Linked DNA regions of Styela clava. The protein of the gene in region 2 purifies or fractionates together with the protein of the main gene of each other region. This does not show direct contact. Links are inferred from orthologs where the notes say so. Each region holds a gene or a part of one and is shown on either strand. Other genes may lie near its edges.

Region 1 (3,935 bases), on a different chromosome or scaffold from region 2:
GTTGGAGTCTGAGTCGACTCATTAGCAATTGCAATTTTTAAATCTAACATCGCACCATATATTTCCCCAATTTCAAACTGAAGTTGTCTGCATATTAAAAGAAAAAATTGAGGATTTATCTCATTCAAAACTTGAGTAAGAAGGTCTATCCGTCTTTTATGCATCTTGCATTTTCTCTCTTTCTCTGTCTCAAAGAAAATCAAGTGTTTATACAGAGCACTCATGTCTTGCGTCAGCTCAATATTATCTGTGACAAAACCATCCATAACAAAGAATTCAAGAGCAGAATCAACATATTTTTTCGCTATTAGGAACACTTGTCGACTTTCTTCAAAAGTGGTGACTGGTAAATGTCTCGCATTCTCTTCTACAGAATCAACTTCAAGAGGCATTCTGTCATGATCTTTGGGTACATCATTGTCATTTTCCTCATTTAATTGTAGTCGTAGTATAGCTTCTGCTTGTCTATTAACATCAAGTTCACACACATCATTATATAAGAGTTCCTTTGAGTAATCCAGAAGAGCGAGAAAGTACTTCACCCAACAACGAGCGATATCTGCTTTCTTCTGTGGTATTTCATTTCTCAGCATGATCGTCTCATTATCATCATCAGGTTTCGGCTCAGGTAGACCTTCCTGAGGTTTTGCTTCTTCCATAATGACATTGGCACAAGCCAAACAATGTTTTGCTTCACGATACATATTTTGACAAATGTAATATTGTGATAGGCCAGCAGAATTCACAGCCCATTCTTTTGGATCATACTCTTTTGATTCCAGTTGACGTCGTAAAGTTCTTTGACAATATGCAGCAGATAGATCATTTTCATCACTTTGTTTGTACATCTGTGCCAAGTAAAACAATGTATGAGTGAAAATCTTTTCAAATTTTGCATCACGTTGCATGTCAGTGAATTTCTCTTCCTTTGGACGCAAACTTTCATCAATAGCGAAAGGAGAAAGACCCACTTCATGCTTATATTTATTATAAAGACTTTCAACTTTTTTAAGGTTGAACATTGCCTCGTCTCGGCCTTGATAACGGCTAGCCCATACTATTCCAAGTTCAGAATATGCAATCATGGCAATGCTAACAGCCTCTGGTCTCATTAAAAGTTCATCGTCTTTCAGAAGAGCAATACACTTATCAAGACATTCTTCTCCAGCAGGTCTTTCCTCAGTGTGAGTGTAATTAAATCCTAGCTGATATTGTATCGCAGCTTCTAAAATTTTCATGGATGGGTCAGATTCATTTTCTTCTCGTTCTTTATGTATTCTATTCAATATTTCTTGCAGCTTTTCTCTTGCTTTGTATTTTGACTTGAAAGGATCATTTTCTGGATCTTTTAAACTTTCTTCATCAGTTAAAACTCGTACACTGTTATATGCATCGTATCCCTCCGACTCAAAATATTCAAGAAGTGTCTGGGGTAAACTGAATTCAAAATTCATATCCAACTTCCTTATATATCTGTATATTAAATAAATCTGAAATATAGTACTAATTCTTCTGTTAAAAAAAATGTATTTTAATGAGTAGGCCTATAGGCACAACGACTTTTGAATGGTTTGCTCTGCAGCATTTTCGCCACTTAACTAAGAAGAAAGTAGAAAAAAAAGATCAATATTCTCAGATTCTGGAAACAATGGGACCAGTGAATGTTTACAAAATGTACTATTACTGGGGTCTTGTGTAGTTTCGTACTTCAAGTACTTCTAGTGGGCGTAGCATAACGATTTTCGCATATGTCAATCCTAATCCCCATCTGACTATGGCATCCAGAAATTATGTCACTACGACATCACAATCACTTCCTTAATAGAGCTTGTCAGAGTATAGGGGGATCACCCACAATGGCATCTGCGCCGCCGCCAGTCATATCGGGATCGTTGCAACGCAAAAACAAGAGAAATAGCTTGCTAGATTTTAGGTGACTGTCTGTGTGCTTGAATGACAGTTTGTACAGTTTGAAGGGCCTTGTTATGTCACTTTGACGTAATTTTCGAATGACGCAGCGAAGTGTTGGTTAGGATTGACAAATGCAAAAACTGTAAAACTACGCCCACTAGAAGCATGCTACTTACGGTAGCTATATTTGACAACGAAGAAAGACTGAATTGTAATCTAATAAACGCTTTCGCAAAAAATTAGGAACCTGGCTACCTTAGATTCATTTTTCGCTTACTTAATCTTTTTTTAAACAATATTTTCTCGTCCAATTTATTGTATTTATTTAGTTTAAAGATTTTTCATCTGATTCCGTGGTAAAATTATATTTTAATCAGCCTTTTCAATTTTTATATATAGCTATAAGTGAATCATATATGCGCTTGGAAATTATATTCAATGTGTAAAAATATTCTGGTTGAAATTGCTGCTAGCTCCACAGTGGTGACGGAAGGTTCGAATCACAACTATGGTCATACATAGGCTTACCATACGTCACGGTTTAGCCAGGACAGTCCCGGTTTTAGCCTGTTTTTCCGCCGTCCCGACATATAATATAAAAATTCACAACATGAAATTCTCTCACATCCAATTATTAAAATGAATTAAGAACACTGAAGTGCATAATGAAATTTATTTAGGTTTTATCTTCAGAATTACCCAGTTCATTCACTACAGAAAAGCATATCTACCTATTTAAAATATGCACAAAGGGGCCATGAATAATTGTTCATTTATTTATCACTATTACGAGACGAATAAACATACATACATAAAAAAAAATTGGGAAAACAAGATCACACTTGAATAAATATAAAAAATACGACAATACGATGCATACCGGTACTATTTGCCGAAATTCCGGTACTCAAAATATACTTATATTTACCGTAGGCTATATTATACTGCATCGTATTCATCTCAACGAACTCGCGGAGTGAAGACTGAAGTAAATGGGTAATAAGAATTTTTATTACTCTAGCGCGACATCTCGCGGGGATGATAAATCGAATTTATCGAACATCGCAGTAGTCTCCATTCAGCCGTTTTCGTACTTATGCCTAGCACTGACGTGGCTGCCTGTTGAACAAGGTTTCTGCATTGGCATACTGGCTATCGGTGTCGTTTTTGTTTCACATTTCTGAGGTTTGGAAATCTATAAATTACAATATGGTAAGTGATTATTATGGAATATGAATCTATGATATGACCACCAGTTTTGGATTCAAATTATGGTCCGATCTAACTTAACCTGACTCCATATAACGTTACAGATATAGGCTAACGCAATCTGGCAATGTTCAATTGTTAATTAGTTGCTGTTACTGTGTTGAGATGGATTGCTTATATTTTTTTTTCAAAACAGTGTTAAGACTTAACTCCATGGCTATTATCTCATTCAGTCCTTCAAATTAATATAAAATCTTATTTCTATATATCAACTCCATTCTTCCGAAAACAAATACCTGGTTAACTAATCCCATACCCGACCTGGTAACCGAACGAGAGGCGGGTCTAGTATAGTTTAGTACCACAGGTACTTCCAGTGGGCGTAGCATAACGAATTTTGCATATGGTATTCCTAACCCCCACCTGACTATGCCATCCAAAAATTACGTCACTAGGATGTCACCATCACGTGATATGGCTTGCCAAAGTATAATTACAATCGCCCGAAATGGCATCTGCGCCGCCGATAATGAACTCGCTAACGCCGACGATCTCTCTCTTATGGTGATCGTTGTGAGGCAAAAACGAGAGAACTAGCTTGCCCGATTTCGGGTGATCGTCCGAGTGTTTTGGACGACCATCTCCATACTTTGGTGGGTCTCATTACGCCACTGTGACGTCCAAATGACGTAATTTTTTGGTGACGTAGTCAGGTGGGGGTTAGGATTAACGTATGCAAAAATTGTCGAGCCAGGCCATCTAGAAGTGCATGTGGTACTAAACTATACCAGACCCCGAGAGGCCGTGGTTGGCCA
Region 2 (3,935 bases):
ATCAAATGAATTTATTCCAAACAATGTTTGAGTAAATATTAATGCATTTATTACACTCCACAATAGCGAGCATAAAATATTTAGATAACAAAAATTACCATAATCCATTTACATTACTAGAACAAAGTTTAAATCCATCATAGCCATGAAGCAAATGAAATATTCTTACTTTCTAAACATAAATATAGTATTGATTGCGCAAAAAATCAATTCAACAAATTCACCTGATGACTGTTTTATAGAATCAAATGAAAAATCATAAGAAAAATTATGATCATTCGATCCATCTGAAACCAATGTTCCATTTTCGTTCATGAAAACCACTTGTTTTGCATTCGCATCTTCCTCCCTGTCGGTTATAAAGCACTGTTTTATAGGTTTGTCCAGAACAAATTGAATACAGGTACATTTTAATCAGTTACGTGAAATAGGCCCATTTATATAAAAGATTTTCCAAATTGAAGAAATTTTCTATTTGATGTGTTCAGCATTAAACTTAACATCCGTCCAAAAAGGAAAAAAGAAACATTATTGTCTCTGGCATTTCTACATTTTAGGGATACTTAAAATTCATAGTTATCGCGCACTTTCGATTGCTGAATTGAAAAAAAATTTAGAATACAATCAAACTAGCGCTCGTGGACATCCTCGATTACCATCTCATTTCATCACTATAATTTTATTTCAATGATCCAGTCAAATATGCCCGTATTCTCTAAAAATTTGGTTTCACTAAATATCCGTATACAAAAATAAAATATTTACTTCTGGCTGAACGGCCGCACTCTGACAGCAACAGTGACGGAAAAATCTTCTCGTAAATTTTCTTTGTCTACGTTCTGAGCGAGACCTGAAAACATATTTTTAAAAATATAAATGTGCTAAGCATTTTCAAATATTAATAATTCGTCAGCAAGCAGAAAAACAAGCGTCGCGACTCGCGAGCATAATGAAATATTCTGAAGACAATGCTTTATACTTCAGACTGTTAAGAGCATCATTGAACATTTACAGGAAACTTTTGTATTTGTATATCTCTGTTTCTGTGAAGTACGGTATGTATTGGAAAAGCATTCTAGATTATACAAAAGATGGAAAATAAATTGCTACAAAACTCATAGAAAAAAAGTCGACTAATATACATAAAAATTAAAAAGTCATCATCATACTTAATGCAAAAGATGATCTTCCTCTTTTAATTGAGTTGCTTCCACCAAGTCGACTTGCTAAATTTTTTCGAACAGAGGTGGGCTTGTTTTCGTGTGGATTATTGCGCCCAGTTGGGTTCCTAGAGCTCGGAGAAGGTGGTTTATCCTTAAAGATATCATGCGATTAATAGGATACATTAATTACCATAATCAGTTCAGTTTGTAGTACAAGGTAATTACGGTATGTCATTTTAAACAAAAACACAACTAAAATTTTGTCAATCAGAAATATAAAAAGACAACGAAAAACCACAACACCAAACTTATGACAACACAGTGCTATATCAATCAAGAAACAATTGATTTATTTCCCCAAAAACTTCAACCAATTCATTCACTCCAATCTACTTCTATAATACGAGGTTGAACTTGTAACAGAGTAACCAGAAAATATCTGTTTCATTGTATTTTAAACTGGAAAAATATCAACAATTGATTTCAATTTTCCAAACAAATAAAGCTGGTTTCAAGATCCAACTTTCAAACAGGATCCAAAACAGCTTGCCTAAGGCTATAATGTACCTAAAATAAAATAACTACGGTACATTAGACTTTTATTTACCTGAATATTTTTAACCATTTTGCGAACCATATCATTTGGAATCGATTTGAATGAAGGACTTGCAGTTACTCCAATTTCTGTTTCAGGCGGCCTACGTTTCGGTGGCGTGCCATGATAAGGGCTCATACCAGGTGTCATTTTTTCGGGGAGATGTTTTTTGATATTCCTTCTAGCTATAGGAGAGCTCTCATGGTTATCTTTAGTGTTTGCTTGATCCGCATGACTTTTTCGATGATGTCTTGCAAGTGAGCTTGTAGTTGTCGATAACACAGACGATGCACACATGAAATTTGTAGGAGGAATTTTAGGACTTTTCGTTGTACCTGAGGTACTTGAATTTTTCTTATCGACAGATAATTTTGTGCTCAATTTTGATGAAGTCTTAACAAACCCCGTGTTTTTAGAAGTTGTTGAAGTCGGTGTATTGTTATTTTCCTTGTCTAAATTGACTTTAAAAAACTTTGGTGATCTTGATAGATCTAGTGCATTACCGGTATCTGTCCCATCACCATATTTGACAGGGGTTGATGTCAGAGATGATTTATATTTTCTGTTAACTGTAACGGAAGTGTGTGGTGATCCTTTTCTGCTAGAAACCTCATTTGTGAATGCTTTACGTTTTTGAGTTATCGCTCTTGAAGACATTTTGTATATCAATGGTCTACACAAGTAAAATTATGTAAATGTGATTTTTGTATATTCTTTGTAGCAATCAGATTTAACTCAACCAGGTACATATTTTTAAATCTAATTCTATTTCTGAAAAATGTTCATTTAAAAATAATTTCATTAATTACCAAATTAGTGGTGCAAATAAGAATTTAAGGAAGCAATCAATTATAGCGTCCTGGGAGGCTTACTAAAAAAACGTGTCCATTAAAATATATCTGGATTTGAAGCGGTTGAAAGAAATGAGCAATGACTTGACCTAATCCCCAGCAAGATTCGCACCTGCCGAGCATATCCCTATCACAATAGTTAGCGCAATGCACCACCATGCCGAGTTGAAACATGGTCACCAAGATATTTTACAATTTGTAGTTCATTTTGTTTTCACTGTGCATGGTATCGTTTAAATTTTATGAGCATAATGCGCCGCACGAATTTCCACACGTCGTCATTTACGATGTGTGTCATACAGTCTGTACAGTACAAAGAGAGTGCAGAACCCCGACAGTCTAGGCCTTGATCTACATGATTAAGTTAAATTAGGATTATATGCATGTAAACATCCATGTTCAGATGTAGTACAAATAACATTTTTATCAAAATTTTCTTTTAATTGTTAGATCTTGACATAAGGCAAAATCAGCGTTCAAAGTTGAGCTTTTTTGGGAACGGCCGAACGGGGTCGTGAAATACTGGAACAGATTACCATTAAATGTGAGAATAAGTGCATCTGTGAATATTTTCAAACACTATTTGGATAAATACGGAGATTCCCAGGTCAGTGTCCAACCCAAGGACACTTGGACAATACTGGGAATTGTCAAATATCAGAATATTATATTGGAGAGAATTAGATAATGGTTTTCGACATTTGTGTATTAAAAATGGGTTAGCACTACTATTGGGTAATTGTCTAATGTCAGAATCTCCTTTCCAGTGCTTTTACTAGTCATAATTTGTCTAGTCTTAATTCTGTAATTGTCTGATTGTAGTAATTGCCAATTTTTGTGATACATTGTTGTTATACCTGTATAGATGTTTATACTGTGGTGTATTTATATTGTAGATTTTGTAGTACTACAGTACTATGTGTGATACCCAAAGCGGTACCGTATTATTTATTTATCAATCTGTTTATCTAACTTACGGTACAGCTTCATAACTTTTTTTGGCTGCCTTTTTTCACTGAAATAAGCAATCAAACATAATAAGTTGAATACCCCGTATCTGCAACAAGGATATACTGATATAACTTATATGTAGGCTATATTCAGATATTGTTTCAATCTATGAATGTCTGAATGTGGAAGCGTTTCATATTTCCAGAATTTCTGTATTTACAGATTTATCTAACTTCAGAACTAACTACAGAACTAACAGAAACTTCAGAATGATAAAACAGCTAACGGTAAATCATACTAGTGAATAACGACCTTTCAATAAGCTTCCTAGTTCTTAAAACGACAGCCTAACCTCCCAAATAGGTGATCGGATTT

Evidence for each region.
Region 1: the proteins of kinesin-like protein KIF14 (region 2) and KIF-binding protein-like purify together in Homo sapiens (affinity purification with mass spectrometry; 3 studies listed by BioGRID and IntAct, counting the BioPlex papers as one, with this or other methods). This does not show direct contact. The link is inferred for Styela clava from reciprocal best matches to the Homo sapiens genes KIF14 and KIFBP.

The regions. Positions count from the first base shown.
Region 1 is NC_135253.1:7,647,941-7,651,875, forward strand, and holds the start of KIF-binding protein-like, read right to left. Parts: upstream 2,898-3,935; 5' UTR 2,840-2,897; intron 1,513-2,839; 5' UTR 1,455-1,512; coding exon 1-1,454. Other genes in the region: coatomer subunit delta-like, read left to right, coding at 3,121-3,123. UniProt on the Homo sapiens protein: Activator of KIF1B plus-end-directed microtubule motor activity. Required for organization of axonal microtubules, and axonal outgrowth and maintenance during peripheral and central nervous system development.
Region 2 is NC_135254.1:17,309,811-17,313,745, reverse strand, and holds the start of kinesin-like protein KIF14, read right to left. Parts: upstream 2,523-3,935; 5' UTR 2,416-2,522; coding exon 1,771-2,415; intron 1,315-1,770; coding exon 1,170-1,314; intron 851-1,169; coding exon 766-850; intron 350-765; coding exon 225-349; intron 1-224. UniProt on the Homo sapiens protein: Microtubule motor protein that binds to microtubules with high affinity through each tubulin heterodimer and has an ATPase activity. Plays a role in many processes like cell division, cytokinesis and also in cell proliferation and apoptosis.